Linked DNA regions of Macaca fascicularis. The protein of the gene in region 5 binds, or shares a complex with, the protein of the main gene of each other region. Links are inferred from orthologs where the notes say so. Each region holds a gene or a part of one and is shown on either strand. Other genes may lie near its edges.

Region 1 (3,982 bases), on a different chromosome or scaffold from region 5:
TGTTATGAAATGAGGGTCTGTTTAGGGTTACAAGCGATTTATCTCTTGGGGCCAGGAGTTCAAGACCAGTCTGGGCAAGACGGTGAGACCGTGTGTCGACAACAAATTAAAAAAAAAAAAAAAAAAAAAAAAAGCCGAGTTCGAGACCAGTCTGGGCAACACAGTGAGATCCTCTCGAAAACAAATTAAAAACAAAAAAAAGCCGGGCATGGTGGTGTCCACCTGTAGTCACAGCTACTCGGGAGGCTAAGGCAGGAAGACTGCTAGAGCCCAGAAGTTTAAATTTATGGTGAACTATGATCACACCACTGTACTCCAGCCTAAGTGACACAGTGAGACCCTATCTCAAAAAAAAGAAAAAGATTTAAGATAATTTATGTAGTGACTTCCTTCCAATGGGTATAATACATAATACGTAAAGAGGGGAAAGAAAGAGTAATTTTACAGTGGAGAAGCCTGACAAGACTTCAGCCAGGTGATCACACGCGTGTTGCCCAGGCTGGAGTGCGGTGGCTATTTACAGGTGCAATCATGCAATCGTAGCACACTACAGCCTCAAACTCCTGGGCTCAAGCGATCCTCCTATCTGGGGCTACAGATGAGCACTGTGCATGGCTTGAAACAGGGATTTTTGTTTGTTCTCAAAATTTTGTCTGCTTCAAACTATTTCCCACGGCCTAGATCTAAGCTCCGGCAAGCTCTGGTGCCGCTTAACTCTCTATCCTCTTTTTGTGCCATTCTCCACTTCACTATAACGATCCTGCCACATTCATCTTCCTTCTGGCTCCTTCCTGTTTTAAGGCCTTTGCCCATGCTGTGTCCCTGCTAAAATGCCTTTCTCATGATGGCCAAAACGGAAGTAACCACCACCTTCTACTGCTGTTTCTCATCACCCCATTTATTTGCTGCTGAGCATCATCTTTTTTGTTTGCTAACCACCTGTCCCCCCTACTAGAATGTAAGCTCCTGAGGGACAAACACTTTCCCTAACCTGTTCACCATACTCCAGCATTTAGAGCAGTAGTTTACATATACGGTACATGCCCAGTAAATATCTGCCCAGTGAATAAATCAATAGGTCTTAAGATCATAACTACAAAAGAAGCCGTAAGTTACAGACTGCAAGCCATCTCTGCTTCTCCTGATATGAAAACACTAAATATGAGTTACTTTTGTTTCTAAGACAGATTCTCATTCTGTCACCCAGGCTGGAGTACAGTGGCCCAATCCCAGCTCACTGCAGCCTCGTCCTCCCAGGCTCAAGCAATCCTCCCACCTCAGCCTCCTGAGTAGCTGGGACACCACGCCAGACTAATTTTTTTTTTTTTTTTTTTTAGCAGAGATGGGCTTTTGCCAGGCCGGTCTTGAACTCCAGGACTCAAGTGATCTGCCTGCTTCGGCCGCCCAAAGTGCTGACATTACAGGTGTGAGCCACCTCACCCACCTGAAATTGTTGTTGTTTTTTTTTTTGAGACGGAGTCTCGCTGTTGCCCAGGCTGGGGTGCAGTGGCGCCACCTCGGCTCACAGCAACCTCTGCCTACCGGGTTCAAGTGATTCTCCTGCCTCAGCCTCCCGAGTAGCTGGGATTACAGGCGCCCGCCACGCCCGGCTAATTTTTGTATTTTTAGTTAGAGACGGGGTTTCATCATGTTGGCCAGACTGGTCTCGAACTCCTGATCTCAGGTGATCCGCCTGCCTCGGGCTCCCAAAGTGCTGGGATTACAGGCGTGTGCCACCGCGCCTGGCTACAAAACTGCTCTTTTTAAAACATCTTTTTTTGAGACATGGTCTCACTCCGTCGCCCAGGCTGGAGTGCAGTGGCGCAGTCTCAGCTCACTTTGGCCTCTGCCTCCCGGACTCAAGCAATCCTCCTGCTTCGGCCTCCAGAGTAGCTGGGCCTACAGGTGCACACCACTGTGTGCGGCTAATTTTTGCTCCCGCTTAGCTGGGATTACAGGCACTCGCCACCATGCCCAGCTAATTTTTGTACTTTTAGTAGAGACGAGGTTTTGCCATGTTGGCCAGGCTGGTCTCGAACTCCTGACCTCAGGTGATCCCCCCGCCTCGGCTTCCCAAAGTGCTGGGATTACATGTGTGAGCCACCACGCCAGGCCCCAAGGACTCACTTGTAACTCACTTATCTCACCCCGGCCCATTTAGCCATCTAGCGAACGGGCCCAGCCCTTACCAATAGCAAACTCAACCAGGGTCTCGTTCTCCTCCGACAGCGAATCGAGAAATAAATCCAGGACCTGCAGCTGCCGTAGATACTCGTAGTTGCTGGGGTCATAAGCGAAGTTGGCGAGGTTGGCGAGGACTTGCTCCTTGGCGTCTGCAACGGGAAAGCGGCACTGGAGCCAGGTCCGGGCGGCGGTCACAGCCGACCCTGTCACCTGGTCCCACCGTGGCTCTCACCTTGGCTCTGGGTCTCCTGGAATTCCGTGACCAGCGCCTGCAGGTATCCCAAACGCCCGACGTGGGGGTCCAACTTCGGCTTCTGGGCCATGGCCGGCGTGACGGAGGACCCCCAGGGACGGGCGGGCGGGTGGCAAAGGTGCAGGGGGAAAGCCGAGCGAGACCCTCACCCACTCTCCACCTGTCTGGCGAGGGAAGACGCGGGGACGGCAAATGGGTTTCTTTCTTGGGTTCAGACTCTGCAGTAATTTGCAGCTGGAAATGGAATGTGGGGAGATGGGCCGGGGTCTCAGAATCCTGTAGGAGTTGGGTCTGAAAATCGAAATTGGGGCGCGGGAGACAGGGAACCGTCTGCGGGTTGGGGCTGGCGGAGTGGGTACTGGCGCCCAGCCCCCGGCTGCCGGGCTCGGTTCCAGGCTCCCGGCGGAAGCCGCGCTGTCCCCACCCTACAAGGCGCGGAAGGGGCGGGACGAGGCAGGCGAGGGGCGGGGCCGTCGCCGAACTCCTTGGCGCGCGTGCGCGGCGCGCTTTCGGTTTTCTGGCTGCGGAAGCTCTTTAGCCTGCGCTGGAACCCGCTGCGACACGCTTCGCCGAGGGAGGTATGGGCGTGGGTGGGTGTACTGCGAGGAGCAGCCTTGTCTCCCATATCCTATGTCCAGCTGCAAATTATTGCAAAATCTGAACGCAAGAAAGAAACCCACTTGCCGCCCCCGCCAACAGGAAGGCGGGTGAGGGCCTCTCTCGGCTTTCCCGCCCCACCTTTCCCACTCTCCCGCCCGGCCCCCCGGGTCCTCCGCCGCCCCGACGTGGCCCAGAAGCCGAAAGTGAGGCACCCATGTCGGGCGGCTGGAATGACGTGAGGAGCAACTCAGGAGCGCAACGGAGTCTGGCAGCACCCATGTTGGGAGGACGTCGAGGCAGAAGCACCTCCAGGATCCCCATGGCTGGCGGGGCGCGGCCCAGCCTCCTTGACCAGGACGCCCCTTTAGAGCGCGGGCGTCAGCTCCTTACCCACCCCCATCAGTCTTTTGACCCTTTTGCAAAAAGCGTAGCGACCCCGACCCGTCCTCTATCCCAGCCCCGAGGTGAGTCCGCCACCTCTGGACAGAAATCAAAGGGGACGGGGTCATGTCCTGGTGCTTTTTGTCAGCCGGGTGGATGGCGCGCGCCCGGGGCAGCACCGGGGAGCCCGAGGAAGAGCCTTGTTTGTGGCGCTTTCGGGGCTTTCTGGATGCTGAAGCCCTTCGGCCGATTCCTTCTCGAGGATTCTCGGGAAGCAGGTGTGTGATGGATTACTACTCGTGGTTACAGGGAACAAAGCACCAGGGAAGGAGGTGGCCTTACTACACTCCCATCGCGTTTGACAACGTAGGGGTAGAGAGGTGGCTTAGGCTGTGAGTGTCCTGAGAATGCAAAAGTTGTTAATCTAATTGGAGTCACTTGTGTTAAAAAAAAAACAGAACAAAAAAACCCGGACAGAGTCGGAGAAAACCATGACAAGAGGGTTCTCATGCATAAATATCTGATAATGAAAACTATCACAAAGATTCTGCAAAAACCCCAACC
Region 2 (3,941 bases), on a different chromosome or scaffold from region 5:
AAGAACAGATTCTAGACCAGTCATTATAAGACTTATGCACGTAATACACAATTTTCAAAACTTTTTTTTTTCGCTCTTGTTGCCCAGGCTGGAGTGCAAGGCTCACAGCAACCTCTGCCTCCCGGGTTCAAGCGATTCTCGTGTCTCAGCCTCCCAAGTAGCTGGGATTACAGGCATGTGCCACCACGTGCAACTAATTTTGTATTTTCAGTAGAGGCGGGGCTTTCACCATGTTGTCCAGGCTGGTCTCGAACTCCTGACCTCAGGTGATCCACTCGCCTCGGCCTCCCAAAGTGCTGGGATTACAGAATTGAGCCACCGCACCCGGCGCCAAAATTTTCTTTTGAGACAGGGTCTTGCTCTCTCATCCAGGCAGGAGTGCAGTGGTGGGATCAAGGGCCACTGTAGCCTCAGCCTCCTGGGCTCAAGAGATCTTCCCAACTTAGCCTCCCGACTAGCTGGGACTACAAGTGCGCTATCACATGCAGCTAATTTTTAAAATTTTTTGTGGAGACAGTTTCCCTTTGTTACCCAGGCTGGTCTCAAACTCCTGAGCTCAAGTGATCCTTTCATATCAGTCTCTAAAAGTGCTGCCATTACAGGTGTGAGGATATATTTCAAAATTACGCACAGTTTTTTCACTCCCATCACTTTTTCTGTTATTCCCTAGAGAACTTAATTTTTGCCAATACGTCTTCTAAAATGTTACATTTCCTGCGGAATGCAAGAAACTAAACGCTTCATGAGCTAGTGGTGGCCATTACTATTTTTAATACTTCAAAAAAGCATTTCAATTTACTGTTCACTAGCACATTATGACATCATTCCCTTCCAGTGTTTGCTTGCTCATTAGATAATCCTGTTTCTATTTTGTTCTCTTGCCTTCAATATACAGATCGCAAATATTCCATTTCAGATGATGGATTAAAGATTCAATGAGGCTGCTGAAAAACACCTTTATATTTGAACGGTTTGGTCGGTAATACGCTTTCTCTTATTGCGGTTGATCTGGAGAGATTAATCTCTCACCAAAAGGTAAAATCCGGAGAAGATGAAATAGCAAAACTAAGGACCAATGGGAAGGGGGAGGCAGGGTTAATCGACAACCGTACTTAACACGACAGATTCCAAGGCTTCCATCAGATAAACAAAGGAAGCTGATTTTTCTACAGAGGCTGCAGGTGCGCAAGCTACCTGAAGTATTAGTATGCAAGCCCACTGAGCCTATTACCTTGAAAGCAGAGTCCAAGCACTGAATTTTTCTAGACTCCCATTATAGGTGGACACCCAGAAAGCCAGTGGAGACAATAATGGACGGGGAAGAGAGTGGGGCCGGTCTTCGATTCCTTCCTCCCACTCCACCAAAGCAGAAGCTAAAATCCTACAACCTACACATACCAATCTGCGCCTCCGCCGCTCATAACCATTTTTCAGGTGCAAAAGGAAGGGGTTGTGGGGGCTGGGCTTCATGTGGGGCGGGTGGGAGGAGTTGCAAAGGAGTCAGGTTGAGAGGCGAAGGGTCGCGGGCGCGGTGGGGAGGACTGCACGACGCGAGCTGGGAACACAGAAGGAAGGCAGGGGGCGCCGGGAGGCGCGAACGCCCGAACGGCCGGGGGCGGGGGCGGGCCCTTTCCTCACCTGGCAGCCCTTCTTATGGTGAAAGCCAACAACCACGATGTGCAGTACGGGCCCCCGGGGGGCGCCATCCCCGCCTCTCCTGGCCTTCTCCATGGGCGGCCGCCGCGGGCCCACACTACGACTTCGACTGCCAAGGGCAGCGGGTCTGACGACCCCACCGTGTGCGGAGAGCCGCGGACTTCGGGTGTCAGCGAGCGCAGCACATGAGGGCCGCACCGGGAGATCTGTGGAGGGAGAGCAGCTCCCGCCCCCAGGGCCGCGGCCGCCCTTCTCTCATCCGCTTCCGCAGCTTCCGGGCTGTCACCTGACGCGGCGGCAGCTGCCGGCGAGGCGGGGCGGGGCAAGGCCGGGAGGGCCCTGACGGCTGGGGGTTCTGAGAGACCGAGGTGGAGCCTGGGGGAGTTAGGTGGGGCTAGGAAAAAAGCGATCGACTGGACGGGGGCGGGGGGTCGGGGGTTCGGGGGGTCGGGGGGGGGACCGGAGGGGGCCTTGACGTGGAGCAGCGGGGTGGGGCTTACGTGACCCGGGCGGCTGGGCCTGCGGAGCCTGTAGTGTCCGCGGGACCTGGAGGTGCGGCGTGGCACACCTGCTTTTTCCTCCCTGGATTCAATCTCAAAGCACTTCCTTCTCTTTTGCCTTCTCATTTTCCTCCTTAAAGTTTTCCCCCTTCCCTCTTCTTTTCTGTTTTCCTTGCTTTTTCACATCTTTTCGATTCACTCTCCGAGTGTCCGATTCCTTCACCTCCTTGCCTTTGCCTCTGTGGCCTCCGTCCTTATTCTCAAATATGTAATAACGTGGAGCATACTGGTGAGGTTGCGTATCTGTGTATTCAGCCTTTAAATTACTTGCTTACCCGAGAATTCTTGTTTGTTTGTTTCTAGAGCTTTTTTCCCCTTCATTTAAATATTATGTGTAGCAATCTGAGACGCATTTAAAACCTGAAACCGAATATCCTTGACAATAAAGGAAGTTTACTTGGATACCTGTAAAATGGTTATTCTAGTCCTGCGATTTTAAAAGAGTATTATTTTCATTCCATCTCTTTTTGGGTTTAGTACTCTGAGCCTATTACCTTGAAAGCAGAGTCCAAGCCTCTCAACCTGACTCCTTTGCAACTCCTCCCACCTGCCCCACATGAAGCCCAGCCCCCACAACCCCTTCCTTCTGCGCCTGAAAAATGGTTATGAGCAGCGGAGGAGCAGGTTGATATGTGTAGGTTGTAGGTTTTTAGCTTCTGCTTTGGTGGAGTGGGAGGAAGGAAGGTCAATACAAAATATATGGGTTCTGTTGTCACCAGGGTTTTTTAATTACTGACTGTACTGCAATTTTTTTTTTTTAAGCAGTGAATCATGTCAATTTAAAGTGCATTCTAGAAACACTAGCAGATTTAACAAGTCTTATCTACGACAGTTTTCAAATAACCTAAAGGATAGGAGTCTGCTTCAAGTAGAATTAGAGATTACTACAGTAACTATGATATTTTGCACTTCTGGTCTTGAAAAATAAGGAGCTCTGTTCTAATCTAAGCATAGCGGAGAAAAACAGTAGGCTTCCTAAATCAAATTTAGTTTCTGTGATTCAGTAGAACTGTTTTAATGCTAATACTGTAGACATTTTTCAAGATGTTGCTATACATTTCTGTATTACAAAATTATTGGCATTGGCTCAGAAAACTGTAAAACTATATTGCTCCCTGTATGCAGAATATATTAACTGTTTTCTTAATATATTAACTGTTTTGAGATGTCAACTGTGTGATGTGTTAACTATTAACATTTTCTTGATATAAACTGTCTTGGTATTTTCCACAATTAACATGGCTAAAATTACTGTCTAATGAACACCTTTTAAAGATATCTATAAGGGCCGGGCGTGGTGGCTCACGCCTGTAATCACAGCACTTTGGGAGACCAAGGCAGGTGGATCACCTGAGGTCAGGAGTTCTAGACCAGCCTGGCCAACATGGTAAAACTCCATCTCTACTAAAAAATACAAAAATTAGCCGGGCGTGGTGGCAGGCACCTGTAATCCCAGCTACTCAGAGGGCTGAGACAGGAGAATTGCTTGAACCTGGGAAGCGGAGGTTGCAGTGAGCCAAGATTGCGCCATTGCACTCCAGCCTGGGGGACAAGAGCGAGACTTCCTCTCAAAAAAAAAAAAAAAAAAAAAAAGATGTATGCAAAAACAGGGCCAGGCACGGTGGCTCATGCCTGTAATCCCAGTACTTTGGGAGGCCGAGGCGGGCAGATCACTTGAGGCCAAAAGTTGGAGACCAGCCTGGGCAACATGGTTGAAACCCCATC
Region 3 (3,928 bases), on a different chromosome or scaffold from region 5:
TCTCTGTCACCCAGGCTGGAGTGCGGTGGCGGGATCTCAGCTCACTGCAAGCTCCGCCTCCCGGGTTCACGCCATTCTCCTGCCTCAGCCTCCCGAGTAGCTGGGACTACAGGCACCCGCCACCTCGCCCGGCTATTTTTTTGTATTTTTTAGTAGAGACGGGGTTTCACCGTGTTAGCCAGGATGGTCTCGATCTCCTGACCTCGTGATCCGCCCGTCTCGGCCTCCCAAAGTGCTGGGATTACAGGCGTGAGCCACCGCGCCCGGCCAATTTTTTTTTTTTTTTTGAGACGAGTCTCGCTCTGTCGCCCAGGCTGCAGTGCAGTGGCATCATCTTGGCTCCCTGCAACCTCCACCTCCCGGGTTCACGCAATTCTCCTTCCTCAGCCTCCCGAGTAGCTGGGATTACAGGCGCCCGCGACCACGCCTGGCTAATTTTTTTTGTATTTTTAGTGAAGACGGGACTTCACCATGTTGGCTAGCCTGGTCTCGAACTCCTGACCTCACACAATCCATCCACCTTGGCCTCTCAGAGTGCTGGGATTGAAGGCGTGAGCCACCGCCCTCGGCCTTTTTTTTTTTTATCAGCTGAATTTAAGATTAAAAACATTTTTTAATTTTATTTTTTGAATTTTATGTTTTTACTTTAACAAATATAGAAAAGTGCACACTTCATAATCTTCACAAACTCCCCACAATTCTCGATAGGATGTGTGTAGAGGGCACGAACACATCACGCTGTGGACGGCAGGGTTATGGAAAACAAAACCTTTTGAGCTCAGACGCCGAGTGCCTCCACCCGCCTAGCAGCCCAGGCTAGGGTCCGCGCCTGCGCAATGGGAGCCGGCCGGCCCTGGAAGAAGTCGGAACGAAGGAAACCCCGCCCCTTTCCCGGCTTCCTCCTCCCCTCGGTTTTACCCAGCTTGCGCTCCCCAGCCGCAAGTCGGCCGCGCTTTACCCTTCAGCGCTTGGAGGGTTCTGCGTCCCTTCCCGCTGCGCCTGCGCGGTCCCGCCTCGCCCCACGCGCGGGCTCGCGCTTCGGTTCTCCCAGACCTGGTCTCAGCATCCGGCTCTTTTCTCGCTCCGGCCCGCTGCCCGCTGCGCCAGCACCATGGTGGGTACCGTGACGTCAAAAGGGGTCGCCCTCGGGGATCTCGGACGGTTGGGGCAGGGGGGTCTGGCCTTTGTCCCCCTAGGCTGGAGTTAGGTCCGGAGTTTTTATCTTCATCGTTAGTCCTGTTCCTCAAGTTCGTTGAGGAGACACCTGAGAGCAAATGGGATTTTTTTTTCCATGATGAGGAAAAAAACCCCAACCCTGAGAGAGATTCAGTGGGGACAGCGGGAGACGGAAAAGTTAGACCTTAGAGCACTTCTCTGCCAGGCAAGCTTCGGCAGGGTGCGGGTGGGATGTTTTCTGTAATTCATTGAAAGGAGTGGGCAGGTACCCGAGAAAGGTGGTCGATTGAGAGAGCACACTGGGGAGGCCGAGGTATGCAGGGCAGAGCCTCTCTGGGACTTTAAGTGATGGGCTCAATGCAGTGTGCAGAATAATTTGGGCTCCAGCCTTTCACCTCTCAACCAATTATTCTTTCCTGTGAAATTTTGAGAACTGTTAGGGATGCAATGGGGTTCACAATACCGGTATTTGGTAATACTGTCAAGGGACACTCCTCCCTACCATGTTCCTTCCCACATGATGGTTTTCCCCCTCTCTCCCAATAGCTCTTCTATTCTTTTTTCAAGTCCCTTGTGGGCAAGGATGTGGTCGTGGAACTCAAGAATGACCTGAGGTAGGTACCTGTTCCAACAAGTCTGTTGGGGGTGGGTGTGCCCAGGGCCCTGGAACCTCTTTAATTTGAGAAATATTTGAGGGCTGGGTGAGGTGGAATATGTACAGAAGAAATAAATGGCCGGGTGCGGTGGCTCACGCCTGTAATCTCAGCACTTTGGGAGGCTGAGGTGGGCGGATCACGAGGTCAGGAGATCAAGACCATCCTGGCTAACACGGTGAAACCCTGTCTCTACTAAAAATACAAAAAATTAGCCAGGCATGGTGGCAGGCGCCTGTAGTCCCAGCTACTTTGGAGGCTGAGGCAGGAGAATGGCGTGAACCTGGGAGGCAGAGCTTGCAGTGAGCCCAGATCACGCCACTGCACTCCAGCCTGGGTGACAGAGCGAGGCTCTGTCTCAAACAAACAAAAGAAATAAATGGGTGGGGTGCAGTGGCTCACGCCTGTAATCCCAGCACTTTGGGAGACTGAGGAGGGAGGATTGCTTGAGCCCAGGAGTTTGAGGCTGCAGTGAGCAGTGATTACTCCATTGCACTCTAGCCAGGGCAATAGAGCAAGACCCCATCTCTAAGACAAATTTTAAAATTTAACAATAAATAAATGCCTTGTGCCTTAAATTTACAGATAAGCTTGGGGATTGTATTGTGTATTGGAAAACAATACAAAGCAATATACAGTTTAAAGAGTAAATACTGGTCAGGTGTGGTGGCTCATGGGCTGGACGTGTGGCTCATGCCTGTAATCCCAGCACTTTGGGAGGCCGAGGTGGGTGAATCACGAGGTCAGGAGTTCAAGACCAGTCTGGCCAAGATGGTGAAACCCCGTCTCTACTAAAAATACAAAAATTAGCCAGGCATGGTGGCAGGTGCCTGTAATCCCAGCTACTTGGGAGGCTGAGGCAGGAAAATCGCTTGAACCTGGGTGGCAGAGGTTGCAGTGAGCTGAGATTACGCCACTGCACTCCAGCCTGGGTGACAGAGTGAGACTCTGTCTCAAAAAAAATAAATAAAGAGTAAGTACTAGGCTGGCCATGGTGGCTCACACCTGTAATCTCAGCACTTTGGGAGGCTGAGGCAGGAGGATCACTTGAGTCCAGGATGTCGAGACTAGCCTGGGCAACATAGAACCATTTCTATAAAAGATTAGCCAGATGTGGTTTACATGCCTGTAGTCCCAGCTATTCGGGAGACTGAGGTGGGAGGATCACTTGAACCCAGGAGGTCGAGGCTGCAGTGAGCCATGATTGTACCACTTTACTCCAGCCTGGGTGACAGAGGAAGACTGTCTCAAAAAAGAACAGGCCAGGCCAGGCGCAGTGGCTCACGCCTGTAATCCCAGCACTTTCGGAGGCCGAGATGGGCGGATCACGAGGTCAGGAGATTGAGACCATCCTGCCTAACATGGTGAAACCCCGTCTCTACTAAAAATACAAAAAATTAGCCTGGTGTGGTGGCGGGCGCCTGTAGTTCCAGCTACTTGGGAGGCTGAGGCAGGAGAATGGCATGAACCCAGGAGGTGGAGCTTGCAGTGAGCCAAGATGGCACCACTGCACTCCAGCCTGGGCGACCAGAGCGAGACTCCATCTCAAAAAAATAAACAAAAAAACAGAACAGGCCATAGGCTGGGCATGGTGGCTCATGCCTGTAATCCCAGCACTTTGGGAGGCTGAGGTGGGTGGATCACAAGGTCAAGAGATTGAGACCAGCCTGGCCAACATGGTGAAACCTACGTATTAGATATGCTACTGTGTATCTAATACCTAGTATAGGCCAGTTGTATGATAGGTGCTTAAGGAAAGAAAAATAATATCTGAAGACCTATTGACTAAGCACTATTCTGAATACATTTATTGATTGATTTCTCAAACACTCCTTAGTAATATGTACTATTGCTGTTATACATATGAGGAAACTGAGGCTTAGATCAGCTATACCACTTGTTCAAGTCTACAAAACTAGTAAGTGATACAGAACAGAAATATGATTATGTCCAGCTTTTTTCTTTTTCTTTTTTCTTTTTTTTTTTTTGAGATAGTCTCGCTCTGTCGCCCAGGCTGGAATGCAGTGGTGTGATCTCTGCTCACTGTAAGCTCTGCCTCCCGGGTTCATGCCATTCTCCTGCCTCAGCCTCCCCAGCAG
Region 4 (3,927 bases), on a different chromosome or scaffold from region 5:
AAAGATTCTCTTGTCTCAGCCTCCAGAGTAGCTGGGACTACAGATGCACACCTCCACACCTGGCTAATTTTTTGTAGAGATGGCAGGGTCTCACCATGTTGCCCAGGCTGGTCTCAAACCCCTGTTCTCAAGAGATCCTCCTGCCTCAGCCTCCCAAAGTGCTGGGATTATAGGAAGAGCCACTGCACCTGGCCTTGCTTACTTTTAAATAAGCAGCCACCAGTGATTTTCTCAAGATGTTAGCAAAAATGCAGAAAACAGTTTGCCTGTTCCTTAGTTTGGAGATTTTGTCTTTAACAATTTTCCCCAGTTCCCCAGTTTCTTCCTGCCTAGAGGTCTTCCCTTATGCCTGACCTGTCTTCACTCCTGCTGCAGGCAAACCAATCCTAGCAAAGGTCACTTTTTTGTTTGTTTGAGACAGAGTCTTCCTCTGTCGCTCAGGCTGGAGTGCAGTGGTGGGATCTCGGTTCACTGCAAGCTCCGCTTCGCAGGTACAAACGATTCTCCTGCCTCAGCCTCCCGAGTACCTGGGGCTGCAGGCGCACGCCACCACACCCGGCTAATTTTTATATTTTTAGTAGAGACAGGGTTTAGCCATCTTGGCCAGGCTGGCCTCGAACTCCTGACCTCAAGTGATCTGCCCGTCTTGGCTTCCCAAAGTGCTGGGATTACAGGCGTGAGCCACCGCGCCCGGCCAACACGGCTAATATGCTTCATGAGCATGGACCCCATCTTCCAATCTGAAATAGAATTTCGGTTGTCCCTTACTTTGTAGAGTTTTTGGCTCTATAAAACTTCCATACTTTATTTATTATGTATCCTGTCCCTCCCCCACCGCAAAATGTAAATTTGGTAAGGAACTTTTGATTTGTCCTCTGCTAGATCCCAGCGACGGAAAGCAATGAGCACACATTAGGCCTCCATTAAATTGATTTCACTTGTTGAATGAATGCGTTAGGGAAGCACTCACGAACTGACCATCAGGGGGCGTCAGAGAAACTGGATAGAGGCGGAAATGAAGAAAAAAGAATTACTCCGAACTTTCAGGCATGGTTCCGCGAGGTTTGAACTCGCTCGGCCACCGTAGTGCTTAGAGGCCGGAAAAAGTGCAGCCCCTTCCGGGCTTTGCGGTACCGGACGACGGCTTTGGGATGTCGGAAATTGATCCTAGAGGTCCCAAGGTAGCCGCCTTGCGAAGCTGAGGCTCCAGCCGAGGGCTCCAGGCCTCCGACCGGCCCAGCAGTGAACGGGGCTGCCCGACGCTTCAGGGCTGGGAGCAGGGAGCGTGGGTCGCCATGGCGACGCCGGCGGGGCTGGAGCGCTGGGTTCAGGACGAGCTGCACTCGGTGTTGGGGCTGAGCGAGCGGCACGTCGCCCAGTTCCTGATCGGTACTGCACAGCGCTGCACGTCGGCCGAGGAGTTCGTGCAGCGCCTACGAGACACTGATACTTTGGATCTCAGTGGACCGGCCCGGGACTTCGCCCTGAGACTCTGGAACAAGGTGTCGGCAGGGTGGGGAGGGGTCCTGTGATTTGTCCCGATGAGGCTGGCCTAACGGTCCATCGAGGAGTTAAGAAAGCTCAGTTCACAAGCACTTATTCTTTGTCCGTTGTCGCCTAGGTACTGTGCTAGCTGCTGGACGCCCAGCTCAGTGGAGAAGATTGAGGAGGGCTTAGGTGTGTCGGGTTAAACGCAATAGAACGGTGTTTTTCGAACTCTTAACATGCATCCAGGGCCCTTGTTAAAATGCAGATTGCGATTCAGTAGGGATCTTAGTTTCTGCATTTCTTTCTTTTTCTTTCTTTCTTTCCTTTTTTTTTTTTTTTTTTTTTTGAGAGACACAGCCTCGCTCGCCCTGTCGCCCAGGCTGGAGTGCGGTCATAAGATCACGGCTCACTACAGCGTCGATCTCCCTGGCTGAAGCGACCCTCCCATCTCATCTTCCCCAGTAGCTGGGACTATGGGCATGCGCCACCACCCCCGGCTAATATCTTTTATTTTTATTTTTATTTTTAGAGACGAGGCCTTGGTGTGTTGCGCAGGCTGGTCTCTAACTCCTCAGCTCAAGCAGTCCTCCTCTCTCAGCCCCGCAAAGTGCTGGGATTACAGGCGTGAGCCACCTTGCCCGTCCCCCCTCAGCTTCTGAACTTCCTTTCAGCCGTTTAATTAACAGAGGAGGCCCGGTGCAGTGGCTCACACCTGTAATCCCAGCACCCCAGAAGGCTGAGGCAGGAGGATCATTTGAGCCCAGGAGTTCGAGACCAGCCTGGGCAACATAGTGAAACCTCCCTACAAAAAATTTAAAAATTAATTGGGCGTTGTAGTGTGCACCTGTGTTTCCAGCTACTTAGGAGCCTGAGGTGGGAGGATCACTTGAGCCCAAGAGGGACAGAGTGAAACCCTGTCTGTAAAAAAAGCCAAAAAGCTGTGGGCCCCATTCAGGATGATAAACATGGGGTGAAGCCATGAGGAAGACAGAATGAAGGCTGGTTAGCTGGTTTAAAACTAAGTAATTGTGCCCGGGTGCGGTGGCTCACGCCTGTAATCCCAGCACTTTGGGAGGCCCAGGCAACTGGATCATGAGGTCAGGAGTTTGAGACCAACCTGGCCAACATGGTGAAACCTCATCTCTACTAAAAATACAGAAATTAGTCAGGTGTGGTGGCAGGCGCCTGTAATCCCAGCTACTTGGGAGGCTGAGGCAGGAGAATTGCTTGAACCTAGGAGGTGGAGGTTGAAGTGAGCCGAGATCACACCATTGCACTCCAGCTCCGGGTGACAGACCAAGACTCCATCTCGGCGGGCGGGGGGAGACTAAGTAATTGCTTAAATTAGGAACAGAGCTAGAGCTAAGTGGGAGGGCAGAGATCAGGAGTTGCTCAGACCTCCTTATCTTCCCCTCTACTGACAGGTACCACGAAAGGCAGTGGTAGAAAAGCCAGCGCGGGCAGCAGAGCGAGAGGCCCGAGCCCTGCTGGAGAAGAACCGATCTTATAGGTTGTTGGAAGACAGTGAAGAGAGCAGTGAGGAGACTGTGAGTAGGGCTGGAAGCAGCCTCCAGAAGAAACGTAAAAAGCGGAAACACCTCAGGAAGAAGCGTGAGGAAGAGGAGGAAGAAGAGGAGGAAGAGGCTTCTGAGAAAGGGAAGAAGAAAACAGGGTAAGTCAGAAGCAGGGCGAGGGAGGATGGGGCAGGCTGAAGTGTGCTCAATGCCCTTATTTAATCCCCTGGATGGGCTGCAGGGGGAGTAAACAGCAGACAGAGAAGCCAGAGTCAGAAGATGAGTGGGAACGGACAGAGCGTGAGCGCCTTCAGGACCTGGAGGAGCGTGATGCCTTTGCTGAGAGGGTTCGACAGCGGGACAAGGATCGGACTCGAAATGTCCTGGAGCGGTCAGACAAGAAGGTGAACAGGAGCAGCACGTTCTGTAAATCCCCAAGATCCCAGGGTGAAATGTGAGGTTGGCTGTGATTGCAGAGATGGTGATCTCTGGGAAGACAAGGGGCTTTCTCTAGTGAGATGTTCCCCTCTGTGGGGAGAGATGAGGTGAGAGAAGCCCTGTGCATCCTGTGGCTAAGGCAACTCTACTGTACCTGCAATCATACAGATCCCTCACTGAGAGGGGACATTTTTTGTGTTAGGGTACATCTGAATGATCCTTGTGATTCTAAAGAGGAGCAGCTGTCAGTGTGGGGGCTCTTTGGCCTCACACCCCTCTATTCTTGTTTTTTTTTTTTCTAGGCTTATGAAGAAGCTCAGAAGCGCCTCAAGATGGCCGAGGAAGACCGGAAGGCCATGGTGAGTCCCAGGGCCCAGGGACCCAAGATCAGAAGACAAAAGGGAAGACCGTCTGATAGAGTGGTTACGTATAGGGAGAGAGAATACAGAGGAAGCACGGTGTGGATGCTGATGGAGTGGTCAGGTCT
Region 5 (3,500 bases):
ATGTTAGACCTTGTTCCTAGCCCGCCTTGCTGTGAGTTCTGAAACGTAACACAGGGTAAGCCACGGCCTGCCCATGAGGTAGTGAACCTGCTTCACCCAGAGACCCCTGTCCTCAGCCTTCTCTCCCCTTTTCTGCTCAGGGGCTATCCAGGTGGTGGTGGCTTCTCGGAGTCTCTGCTGGGGCATGAACGTGGCTGCCCACCTGGTAATCATCATGGACACCCAGTACTACAATGGCAAGATCCACGCGTGAGTACAGCTGGTGGTCTGTGTTAGCCCAGATCTTCCTAAAATGAGTGTGAATCTGCAGACACACAGAAAGCAAGCTAGGATGAAGGAAAGGTGTTAGGGAAGTTAACAGCTGAGATGCCACCAGAGCCAAGTATTTAGGAGTTTTGTGTCTCAATACCTAGGCTCACATTTGTTTTTTAGTCATTGTGCTTCCACATTCCGCAGTTGGGAGAGGTAGGCAGTTAGCGCCAGGAGGAATGTTTGACATTAGGTCATTAACCTCAAACATCTTGTAGATTAGGAAAAGCGACTTGGTCAAGGTCATACACCTATATAGTGACAAGAAGCTAGAAGAGTGCTGAGCGCGGTGGCTCATGCCTGTAATCCCAGCACTTTGGGAGGCTGAGGCAGGCGGATTGACAAGAAGCTAGAAGAGTGCTGAGCGCGGTGGCTCATGCCTGTAATCCCAGCACTTTGGGAGGCTGAGGCAGGCGGATCACTTGAGGTCAGGAGTTCCAGACCAGCCTGGCCAACACGGTGAAACCCCGTCTCTACTAAAAGTATAAAAATTAGCTGAGCGTGGTGGCACGTGCTTGTGCTTCCAGCTACTCAGGAGGCTGAGGCAGGAGAATCAGTTGAACCTGGGAGGCAGAGGTTGCAGTGAGCCAAGATTGTGCCATTGCATTCTAGCCTGGGCAACAGAGTGAGATTCCATCTCAAAAAAAAAAAAAGGCCAGGTGTGGTGACACGCGCCTGTAATCCCAGCTACTTGGGAGGCTGAGCAGGAGAATCGCTTGAACCCGGGAGGGGGAGGTTGCAGTGAGCCGAGCTCGCGCCACTGCACTCCAGTCTGAGCAACAGAGCGAGACTTCATCTCAAAAAAAAAAAAAAAAAAGTTAGAAGAGTCAATCATTCTCAGAAAAACATCTGCTTTTTTTTTTTTTTTTTTTTTTTTTTTTTTGAGACAATCTTGTTCTGTCATTTAGGCTGGAATGCAGTGGTATGATCTCGGCCCACTACAGCCTCTGCCTCCCAGGCTCAAGCAATCATCCTGCCTCAGTCTCCCAAGTAGCTGGGACTACCAGCATGTGCTGCCACTCTCAGCTAACTTTTGCTTTTTTTTTTTTTTTTTTTTTTTTTGTATAGATGGGTTTTCACCGTGTTGCCCAGGCTGGTCTTGAACTCCTGAGCTCAAATGATTCACCCACCCAAAGTGCCGGGATTACAGGCGTGAGTTATGGTGCCTGGCCCAATGCTTAATAACTTTTTCCCGAAATGCGGATTAGTTTGAAGTGAATTTTATTTACGGGTTCATTTTTAATGTTTGAGGCTGCTTCTAGGTTGGGTTAAAGTCAGGTGACTTGATGACTCATGAAATGCACAGCTGTGAAGTTTGGAAAGTGCGGCGGTGCGCACCTGTGGTGGCTGAAGTGCGAGGATCCCTTGAGCCTAGGAGGTCAAGGCTGCAGTGAGCCGTGGCTGTGCCACTGCACTCCAGCATGGACAGTAGAGCAAGATGCTCTATCAAAAAACAAACAAACAAATAAATAATTTTTTTAATTAAAGGAGAAAAGTTTGGGAAGTTTGACTTACATATTTGATCCTCGAATAGGAAGTTATTTTGGTTTTGGCATTAGATAGTTTTGTAGCTTGGTTCATGGCACTTGAGCAGCAAATTCATGGCCCTTACACTGAATGCTAAAATGATGTAGAGGCCAGCCAGTGAAGCCAGTTCTAAGTGCAGAGATTCATAAACAGAGTCGTGCTGTGATTTGACCATGCCTCCCCGTATTTACATTTTACTGTTAATTGGCGAAGGGAGTCGGGCCTCCTGAGCGTGGTCTCCGTGTTGAGGCGGCTTTTCCTTCTTTCCCCGCATCTGTCACCAGCTATGTGGATTACCCCATCTATGACGTGCTTCAGATGGTGGGTCACGCCAACCGCCCTTTGCAGGATGATGAGGGACGCTGCGTCATCATGTGTCAGGGCTCCAAGAAGGTCAGTCCTGGATTCATGCAGCCTCTTGGATCCAGAGCCTCAGAATGGATTCTTTAATCCTTTTGATAGACGTCTTCAGTAATTTTAGTCTCTTAACTTCTGTCTCTCTTATTTACACAATTCTTTTGTAACGAGCCTGCCACCCGTTTGGAATTTTGCTGCCTTTTGCTTTTGCTGCTGCCGTTGGCTCCACGTGTTGAGGGCTTTGCCCGCTAGTTGGTTCCCTCCTTCCTCACTGGGCTGCCCGCTGCTCTGCCCTTGTGACTTGCTGTGCCTCTGTTCCCACTGCGTATTGTCGCCAGTGACGCACTTTCTAAACCTGTAGCTTCTTCCATTTTGGTATTAGTTAGGTCTTGCACGGGGACCATGCCCTGTTGATTTGCCCTTGGCCCTTTGTGACCATGTTGTCACTAATTCTTGATTAATGCTGCTGCTTCTCCAACCCACAGGATTTCTTCAAGAAGTTCTTATATGAGCCATTGCCAGTGGAGTCTCATCTGGACCACTGTATGCATGACCACTTCAATGCTGAGATCGTCACCAAGACCATTGAGAACAAGCAGGACGCTGTGGACTACCTCACCTGGACCTTTCTGTACCGCCGCATGACACAGAACCCCAATTACTACAACCTGCAGGGTCAGTGGGCTTGGGAGCACACGTGATTCTTTGGTGCTTCCCACAGCCTTTGCTGGGCGTTTTCTCAAGGCTCCCCACTCACCTCTCACCTCCATAGGCATCTCCCATCGTCACTTGTCCGACCACTTGTCAGAGCTGGTGGAGCAGACCCTGAGTGACCTGGAGCAGTCCAAGTGCATCAGCATCGAGGACGAGATGGATGTGGCACCTCTGAACCTGGGCATGATCGCTGCCTACTATTACATCAACTACACCACCATTGGTGAGGCCCGGCACGGCCCGGGTCCTGTCTGTAGGAGCCTTCTCACACAGGGGTCAGGAGCCCACTGGGATGAGAGGTCTGCCCGTGTCCGTCAGCGGGATGACACTGCAGGGGAGAGCAGGGCAGCCCAGGCAGTTCTGCTCCTTCTCCGCTTGCTTTCGGCTTCTCTCAAATGTCCTTTTTCTGTCAGAGCTCTTCAGCATGTCCCTCAATGCCAAGACCAAGGTGCGAGGGCTCATCGAGATCATCTCCAATGCGGCAGAGTACGAGAACATTCCCATCCGGCACCATGAAGACAACCTGCTGAGGCAGGTGAGGACGGCAGCTTCAGGAGAACGTCCTGGGAACAACGAACTCTGCCTGTGTGCCC
Region 6 (4,017 bases), on a different chromosome or scaffold from region 5:
TTCTTTCTTTCTTTCTTTCTTTCTTTTTCTTTTTTAAGACAGAGTCTCGCTCTGTCGCCCAGGTTGGAGTGCAGTGGCGGGATCTCGGCTTACTGCAAACTCTGCCTCCCGGGTTCAAGCAATCCTCCTGTCTCAGCCTCCTGAGTAGCTGGGACTACAGGTGCCACCACCAGCCCGGCTAATTTTTGTATTTTTAGTAGAGACAGGGTTTCACCATATGAGTCAGGCTGGTCTCAAAGTCCTGACCTCAGGTGATCCACCAGCCTAGGCCTCCCAAAATGCTAGGATTACAGGCATGAGCTACCACGCCTGGCCAGTAGGCACTTTATGTCTATTATTTACTATTGTAGACAACTGACACTCCTTCCCCCGCCCCCGACCCTGACTTTTTCTTTTTTAGAGACGGGGTATCGCTCTGTCACCCATGCTGGAATGCAGTGGCGCAATAAGAGCTAAGTGCATCCTCGAACTCCTGGGCCTCAGGCCATCCTCCTGCCTCAGCCTGTGGGCTAAATGAAACTACAGGTGCACGCCACCACACCTGGCTGATTATTTCTAAATGATTTACTTCATCAACACTTCCCACATGAGTAGGGCACACAGTAGGCGCTCCATAAATACTTGTCAAACGCCTACACGAAGGAATCAATGCCTGGCAAGAATGAATCCACCTTCCACCATGCCTACCTCGCTAAAAACTACATTTCCGGCCGGGCGTGGTGGCTTACGCCTGTAGTCCCAGCACTGTGGGAGGCCGAGGCAGGCGGATCACGAGGTCAGGAGATGGAGACTATCCTGGCTAACACGGTGAAACCCGTCTCTACTAAAAATACAAAAATTAGCCGGGCGTGGTGGCGCATGCCTGTAGCCTCAGCTACTCGGGAGGCTGCAGCAGGAGAAGCGCTTGAACCCGGGAGGCAGAGGTTGCAGTGAGCCGAGATCACACCACTGCACTCCAGCCTGGGCAACAGAGCAAGACTCCATCTTTAAAAAAAAAAAAGAAACAAAAACAAAACAAAACAAAAAAAACTACATTTCCCTGTGCACTTGGCGCGACGCACTCCCACGACGTTTGAAAGAGCGACAATTACTTCCCACGGCCCCTTACCGCCCCCTCCCGCCGGTGCCACAGTGGTTGATGGGAAGGTAGTTTTTACGCACTTTGGCCGGCCCCTAGCCATCTGAACCCAAACTAAATTTCCCAGCAAGCAGCGCGCAGGCCTGGGAAAAGGGGCAAGATGGCTGACTCCGAAGAGGGTGTTTTGCCGCTGACGGCTGCTTCCACTGCCCCAATTTCATTCGGCTTCACTCGCACGTCCGCACGGAGGCGGCTGGCCGACTCGGGAGACGGCGCGAGGCCATCTCCGGAGGAGAAGGATTTCTTGAAAACCGTGGAAGGGAGGGAGCTGCAGAGGTGACGCGCCGGGTCTTTCACACCTTGGAAATCGCTGCGGTGGGCGTAAGCGGGAGGGAGGAATCTCACTCAGTCGTTTGTCTTGGTGACAGTGACCTGTTAAGCCTGAAGCACAGCCTGAGTAAATTCGTGGAGGCCAGAAGGCTGGAGTTTATAAGAGGGGTGGGGAAATTGGGCCTGATAGCCGTGGGAATTGCGAAGAGAGGATGTATCACTGAGAAGAAGTGTCTTTAGGACTTGAGGACACTGAGGTGTGTGCGTTTTGGGAGAAGGAAAGAATGAGAAAATGACAGGACCTGCTAGTGTCTCAGCTGAAGTGGTGGGGCTTCTCTGATATGGGGAACGGGATGGAGCGGCAGATTCAGGTTGATGGAGGCCACCATCAGCTTAATGAGGAGAGGAGAGTCTGAGGGAGGGATTTCCAGAAGAGAATCAGGCATCTGGGAAGCTGTTTGGGAACCTGGAGCTAGGGAGGGTCTAGGCTGAAGATAGTGATTTGTGGGCCATTGTGGAAGCCGGTCTTGAGTTAAACAGAGAGTCCAGGACTTATTTCTCGAAGGCACTGACATTTACGAGTTGGGGGCACTGGGGGGGATAATCCAAAGAATGCACGATCAGAGAGGTACAGGAGATCCAGACATGGAGTAGAGAAGGCATGGTCTGTGGGGCTGGGGTGAGTTTGGCTCTCGTGTTTTCTCTGAATAAAGGAGTGTGACCCACTGACACTGCCATTCTCCCAACCCCACCCCTCTGTGTCCACATCAGTGTGAAGCCCCAGGAAGCCCCCAAGGAACTCGTCATCCCTTTGATCCAGAATGGCCATCGCAGGCAGTCACCAGCCCGGCCCCCTGGGCCATCCACAGATACTGAGGCCTTGGCAGATGGGGTGCTGTCCCAGGCTGTGAAGGAGCTCATTGAGGGTGAGTGATGCCCCTTTACCCTTCCCCAGTGAAGGAAGAAGATGAAGAAGGTGGAAGGATAGAGTGGGACTTCATTGCTCCCTCCTATTCTTCCCTTAGAATCCAAGAAGTCTCTGGAAGAGAGAGAGAATGCGGGTGTCGACCCCACGCTCGCTATCCCCATGATCCAGAAAGGATGCACCCCCAGCGGGGAAGGGGCAGACAGCGAACCCCGGGCAGAGACAGTGAGCTGGCCCCTTGTCCCCCTCCTGCCCCAGCCTTTCTTTGCCCTGTCTGCTAGGCTTTGTCCCTGCACATAGCAGGGAAAGTCTGTGTGCTAGAGGCCCGCCACCTGTCCTTTCTCCTGTCATCCTTTTTGGAAGCATTACCAAATGAATCTGGATATCTGGATGCTAAAAACGTACTTGAATCCTAGGATTATCTGAATGAGGTGTGCAGCAAAGGGAACAGGAAATGTAAAGGCCCTGAAGGTAGACACTGCCTAGAGTGTTTGCGGAACACCAAAGAGACTAGTGTGACTGAAGTGGAATGAGTGAGGGGAAGGGATAGTAGACGAAGTCAGAAAGGAGATGGGGGTGCTAGACAAGGCAGGGCCTTGTAGGCCATTGTGAGGACTTTGGCTTTTACTCTGAGTGGGATGAGAGCCTAGGCAAGCCCTGAGCATAGATGAAATATGATTTATGATTTGACAGCATCCCTCTGGCTGCTGTGAACAGACTCATTAGTGAAGGTGGAAGCAAGGGGATGAGTAGTCCAGGCTAGAGATGCTGGGGACTTAGACCAGAGTGGTCTGGAAGGATAAGTAGGGTTTAGTGAGAGGGAAGAACAGAGTGAGTGTTCCTGTTGGTAGTAACAGCCCAAGCAATGGCATAGTGGCAGAAAATCGATGTGGTGTGTGTCCATCAGTGAGGCAACATGTGGTGTGTCTGGAGTGAATGGGAAGGAGTGATGATGGAAGGTGACGAGGAGATGTGAGAGGCGTGTCTACAGGAGTAACCAAGTCTGTCTTTCATACCCACAGACCTGACTTTTCACCTCTTCTTTCATAAATTTCTTGCATTGCTTCTTTGGAGTCTAGTTCTCCTACAGCCCCAGAACACTCTCTTTCAACTGAACTGTTCTCTTCAGCCTTCAGATGTGCTCTGATTTCCTTCAACTTTTTTTTGTTTGTTTGTTTTTTGTTTTTTGAGACAGAGTCTTGCCCTGTGGCCCAGGCTAGAGTGAAGTGGTACGATCTCGGCTCACTGCAACCTCCCGCTCCCGGGATCAAGCGATTCTCCTGCCTTAGCCTCCCAAGTAGCTGGGATTACAGACACGTGTCACTACCGCCTGGCTAGTTTTTGTATTTTTAGTAGAAACGAGGTTTCGCCACGTTGGTCAGGCTGGTCTTGAACTCCTGACTTCAGGTGATCTACCCACCTTGGCCTCCCAGAGTGCTGGGATTACAGGCATGATCCACTGTGCCCAGCTCCTTCATCTTTAAAGAAAAAAAAGATCCTCACTTCCCTCTTCATCCTTTCATCCTGTTCCAGCTTTAACCTCATTCCTCTAATTTTTCCCTCTATAAACCTCCTCCTGCAGCTTTATACATATCAGGTGACCAAAAATTCCATCCATCCTTCCTCTCACTCAGCATAAAAACCTTGGAGTCGGCCGAGCCTGTAATCCCAACACTTTGGGAGG
Region 7 (3,500 bases), on a different chromosome or scaffold from region 5:
GTCTGCGGCTTGTCCTGCTACAAGTAAATCATAGCTGAAACAGAACCTTATTAACTGGTATGTTCAAATTCAATCTACTAGGCAAGAGGCCATTAAAGATAGGGAGAAATGAAAACAACATGCCATGGTATGGACCTTCTCAAGTTATTTTTACCGGTAAAGAAAATGGCCAGGTGTAGTGGGTCACACCTGTAATCCTAGTACTTTGGGAGGCCAAGGTGAGTGGATCACTTGAGCCCAGGAGTTCAATACCTGCCTGGGCAACACAATGAGACCCTGTCTCTACTAAAAAGAAAAAGAAAATGGAGACAGCCTAGATGTACTGAAATTTCCAATTATGTGACCCACTGACAGAAAAAAGTGTGGATATGCCAGAAGCAGTAACAGAAGTCTAAAATTTATAAATACTGATTTATTTTTGGATTGCCACAGGTCAAGCAAATTCTTCTTAAAAGTTAATGAAAGCATATAAGATTCTAATTTCAGCTTTGTTCTAATAGTTAATCTACTTTTTACCTCACAGACTGTCTTGATTTTGAAATCCTGGCATTCGGAAACACCCTGACTTCTAGTGTTTCAATGGCTCATTCAATACTTGTATTATAATCAGAAACAGATGCTGGTTGCCTATCGTTATTGTAGTTTCCATATTTGCTTCAATTAATTTACATATAATTACTGTACATGAGAGGTAATGTTATGACAAGAATAGTTTCTGCAACATTAAGTATGGGTCGAAAAAAAAAGAAATGGGCCAGGCATGGTGGCTCATGCCTGTAATCCCAGCACTTTGGGAGGCCGAGGTGGGAGGATCACGAGGTCAGGAGTTCGAGACCAGCCTGACCAATATGGTGAAACCCCATTTCTACTAAAAAAGCACAAAACTTGGCCAGGAATGGTGGTGTACGCCTGTAATCCCAGCTACTCAGGAGGCTGAGGCAGGAGAATTGCTTGGACCCGGGAGGTGGAGGTTGCGGCGAGCTGAGATCATGCCATTGCATTCCAGCCTGGGCAAAAGAGCAAGACTCCATCTCCCAAAAAAAAAAAGAAAGAAAGAAATGACTTTAGATAAATAGCTTGAATGAAATTACAAAGAGGAGTGCATTAAAAAATACCAGCAGTAAAATCTCTAGAAGAATTAAAATGACAGGCTAAAAATAAATAATAAATGTTCTTTTCAGGAAGTACTAATTTGCTGCTGGCACTCTATATTCTTCTTCTTTGTTTTAATGGATGACTTGTATGTACATCTTCCGGCTTGTCCTCTGGATGCTTTGGCACAGATGAAATTACCTAATTAAAAAAAAAGAACCATTAAAATTTAGTTTCTATAGCACAGGAGTAAAGCTATTAGAAGAGGTAAGACTACATCCAATAGTTCAATCCTTGATGCGGCTTTTGAGGCAGAGTTGGCTTAAGTTCAAGGTCCAGCCTATGACCTAGGCACAGAGTGAAGTTTTCTGTTCAAACACTGATGAGAGTAAAATTTCTAAAGCTACTTAAAAAGAAAAAAAATTTGGAGGAAGAAAAGTGAACATATGCTCCACTTTAACATTCCTTTATAGATCTAAAGTCACTTGTTATATTACAGATTCAGATAGATATCCTGGTTTTGCATTCTTGAAACACTGATAATGTTTGATAGATTTGGGGGGATGAAAACATTTGGAGAAATGAGCAGGAAGCAGTATAATCCTCAATTTCCTAGGAGAAAAAGGAAAGGCAAACACACTATCAGAGAGAGTGTACAATAAGCCAAAGCAAAGAGTCTTCATTTGAAATGGAAAATTATTAGAAACTATAGTAAACTGTATTTAACATTTTTTTTTTGTTGTTCTACTATTTCTGGACCTAGAATTTGGACTTCACACGTTTTTCTTTAAAATGTAATCAGCTCTGGCTGAGACAGCTGCGTATCTATGTCTATGCCTCAGTTCAGCTGCAACTGAAGGAAGGAAGGAAGGGTGGAAGCACAAACTGAAAACCTTTTTTTTTTTTTTTTTTTGAGACAGGGTCTCACACTGTCACCCAGGCTGGAGTGCAGTGGCATGATCTTGGCTCACTGCAACCTCCGCCTCCCAGATTCAAGTGATCCTTCCACCTTAGCCTCCCAAGTAGCTACAAGAGTGCACCACCACGCCTGGCTAATTTTTGTATATTTATGGTAAAGATGGGGTTTCATCACATTGGTCAGGCTGCTCTCAGACTCCTGGGCTCAAGCAGTCTGCTCACCTCAGCCTCCCACCTCAGCCTCCCAAAGTGCTGAGATTATTGGTGTGAGCCACTGTCCCCAGCCTAAACTGAAAAACTAAAGGCGGCTTCAAAACTGTGCCCATGGATTTTAATTATTAATAAATAATGCCTCTTTAATCAGATGTTTTCAGGTAAAAAATGTACATATAAGAAATTAAGCTACCTGAGCCTCCCTTAATCACATTGTAAAATACGAGTAAAACCATGTGAAAAGCACTTTCTGCATCTTGGAGTAAGTATAAGAGAATGTCATAACCCTCAGTTTATGATTTGTAATAGTAGCCCCTACCCCATCCCACAAAAAGGTGTCTTTCGAAAGCTAACTCAGATGTTAACTTTATTTGTGCTTAGGAAATGGAAAATGATTATATAAATGACATAAAAAAAAAAGACTACCTAGGCAGCACAATCTGATCCTGATCATTTAAGAAGTCTACATTTGAGGCCGGGCGTGGTGGCTTATGCCTGTAATCCCTGTAATCCCAGCACTTTGGGAGGCTGAAGCGGGTGGATCACGAGATCAGGAGATCGAGACCATCCTGGCTAATATGGTGAAACCTCGTCTCTACTAAAAAATACAAAACACTTGCCCTGGCATGGCGGCGGGCACCTGTAGTCCCAGCTACTTGGGAGGCTGAGGCAGGAGAATGGTGTGAACCCAGGAGGCAGAGCTTGCAGTGACCGTAGATCCTGAGCGACAGAGTGAGACTCTGTCTCCAAAAAATAAATAAATAAATAAACAAATAAAATAAAATAAAGTCTACATTTGAAATGCATACCTAGAGGCCCAATTTTTAGAAATCTCACCTTCTATTGCTCTTTATCACAAAAGCAAATTAAGCATTTTACTTTGATATAAACTGTAATAACTCTAAATCTGAGAGAAATGGAATTTTCCTTCTCAACTTTGGCTCATATTAGAACTACTTGGGGAGCTTTTAACAAAAATGGCAGGCCTGGGCACCACTCTCACAGATTGATGTAATTAGCTGAAACCACTGCTTTAATATTTTGTATCTACAGTGATATAAAATGTCTGTTCATTGTTTAAAGCAAGTATTAACAGTTCAAAGCAAATAAAATGTTAGCCAAATTCAGTTATTTCAACAGAGAACTATAGAAAAACACATCAAAAAACTAAAAAGTGAAAAAAATTACAATACTATTGTTCCCACAAATAATTCCCCATTTAGTCCTATAACCAAATCGTCTCTTAGAACAGTTTTTAAAAATAACCTTACCTCTTT

Evidence for each region.
Region 1: SNRNP200 (region 5) and ARMC7 share a complex: the UniProt entries of both Homo sapiens proteins name them as parts of the minor spliceosome. The link is inferred for Macaca fascicularis from reciprocal best matches to the Homo sapiens genes SNRNP200 and ARMC7.
Region 2: SNRNP200 (region 5) and LSM5 share a complex: the UniProt entries of both Homo sapiens proteins name them as parts of the U4/U6-U5 tri-snRNP complex. The link is inferred for Macaca fascicularis from reciprocal best matches to the Homo sapiens genes SNRNP200 and LSM5.
Region 3: SNRNP200 (region 5) and LSM2 share a complex: the UniProt entries of both Homo sapiens proteins name them as parts of the U4/U6-U5 tri-snRNP complex. The link is inferred for Macaca fascicularis from reciprocal best matches to the Homo sapiens genes SNRNP200 and LSM2.
Region 4: SNRNP200 (region 5) and DHX16 share a complex: the UniProt entries of both Homo sapiens proteins name them as parts of the minor spliceosome. The link is inferred for Macaca fascicularis from reciprocal best matches to the Homo sapiens genes SNRNP200 and DHX16.
Region 6: SNRNP200 (region 5) and GPKOW share a complex: the UniProt entries of both Homo sapiens proteins name them as parts of the minor spliceosome. The link is inferred for Macaca fascicularis from reciprocal best matches to the Homo sapiens genes SNRNP200 and GPKOW.
Region 7: SNRNP200 (region 5) and RBM48 share a complex: the UniProt entries of both Homo sapiens proteins name them as parts of the minor spliceosome. The link is inferred for Macaca fascicularis from reciprocal best matches to the Homo sapiens genes SNRNP200 and RBM48.

Annotation. Positions count from the first base shown.
Region 1 is NC_088390.1:81,488,916-81,492,897, reverse strand, and holds the start of ARMC7 (armadillo repeat-containing protein 7), read right to left. Parts: upstream 2,801-3,982; 5' UTR 2,508-2,800; coding exon 2,417-2,507; intron 2,334-2,416; coding exon 2,190-2,333; intron 1-2,189. UniProt on the Homo sapiens protein: As a component of the minor spliceosome, involved in the splicing of U12-type introns in pre-mRNAs.
Region 2 is NC_088377.1:97,812,674-97,816,614, forward strand, and holds the start of LSM5 (U6 snRNA-associated Sm-like protein LSm5), read left to right. Parts: upstream 1-1,141; 5' UTR 1,142-1,310; coding exon 1,311-1,434; exon of another isoform or gene 1,435-1,443; intron 1,444-1,638; coding exon of another isoform or gene 1,639-1,731; exon of another isoform or gene 1,732-1,913; intron 1,914-1,937; exon of another isoform or gene 1,938-2,044; intron 2,045-3,941. Other genes in the region: late secretory pathway protein AVL9 homolog, read right to left, coding at 1,639-1,731. UniProt on the Homo sapiens protein: Plays a role in pre-mRNA splicing as component of the U4/U6-U5 tri-snRNP complex that is involved in spliceosome assembly, and as component of the precatalytic spliceosome (spliceosome B complex).
Region 3 is NC_088378.1:139,906,455-139,910,382, forward strand, and holds the start of LSM2 (U6 snRNA-associated Sm-like protein LSm2), read left to right. Parts: upstream 1-1,128; 5' UTR 1,129-1,291; coding exon 1,292-1,381; intron 1,382-1,722; coding exon 1,723-1,790; intron 1,791-3,928. UniProt on the Homo sapiens protein: Plays a role in pre-mRNA splicing as component of the U4/U6-U5 tri-snRNP complex that is involved in spliceosome assembly, and as component of the precatalytic spliceosome (spliceosome B complex).
Region 4 is NC_088378.1:141,982,697-141,986,623, forward strand, and holds the start of DHX16 (pre-mRNA-splicing factor ATP-dependent RNA helicase DHX16), read left to right. Parts: upstream 1-1,127; 5' UTR 1,128-1,295; coding exon 1,296-1,502; intron 1,503-1,621; exon of another isoform or gene 1,622-1,677; intron 1,678-2,912; coding exon 2,913-3,160; intron 3,161-3,243; coding exon 3,244-3,406; intron 3,407-3,742; coding exon 3,743-3,799; intron 3,800-3,927. UniProt on the Homo sapiens protein: Required for pre-mRNA splicing as a component of the spliceosome. Contributes to pre-mRNA splicing after spliceosome formation and prior to the first transesterification reaction.
Region 5 is NC_088387.1:1,362,617-1,366,116, reverse strand, and holds part of SNRNP200 (U5 small nuclear ribonucleoprotein 200 kDa helicase), read left to right. Parts: intron 1-140; coding exon 141-249; intron 250-2,120; coding exon 2,121-2,229; intron 2,230-2,678; coding exon 2,679-2,868; intron 2,869-2,965; coding exon 2,966-3,130; intron 3,131-3,320; coding exon 3,321-3,442; intron 3,443-3,500. UniProt on the Homo sapiens protein: Catalyzes the ATP-dependent unwinding of U4/U6 RNA duplices, an essential step in the assembly of a catalytically active spliceosome. Plays a role in pre-mRNA splicing as a core component of precatalytic, catalytic and postcatalytic spliceosomal complexes.
Region 6 is NC_088395.1:49,285,877-49,289,893, reverse strand, and holds the start of GPKOW (G-patch domain and KOW motifs-containing protein), read left to right. Parts: upstream 1-1,217; 5' UTR 1,218-1,238; coding exon 1,239-1,414; intron 1,415-2,179; coding exon 2,180-2,334; intron 2,335-2,433; coding exon 2,434-2,558; intron 2,559-4,017. UniProt on the Homo sapiens protein: RNA-binding protein involved in pre-mRNA splicing. As a component of the minor spliceosome, involved in the splicing of U12-type introns in pre-mRNAs.
Region 7 is NC_088377.1:128,829,428-128,832,927, forward strand, and holds the end of RBM48 (RNA-binding protein 48), read right to left. Parts: coding exon 3,495-3,500; intron 1,705-3,494; coding exon 1,594-1,704; 3' UTR 1,294-1,593; coding exon of another isoform or gene 1,207-1,293; 3' UTR 398-1,206; downstream 1-397. UniProt on the Homo sapiens protein: As a component of the minor spliceosome, involved in the splicing of U12-type introns in pre-mRNAs.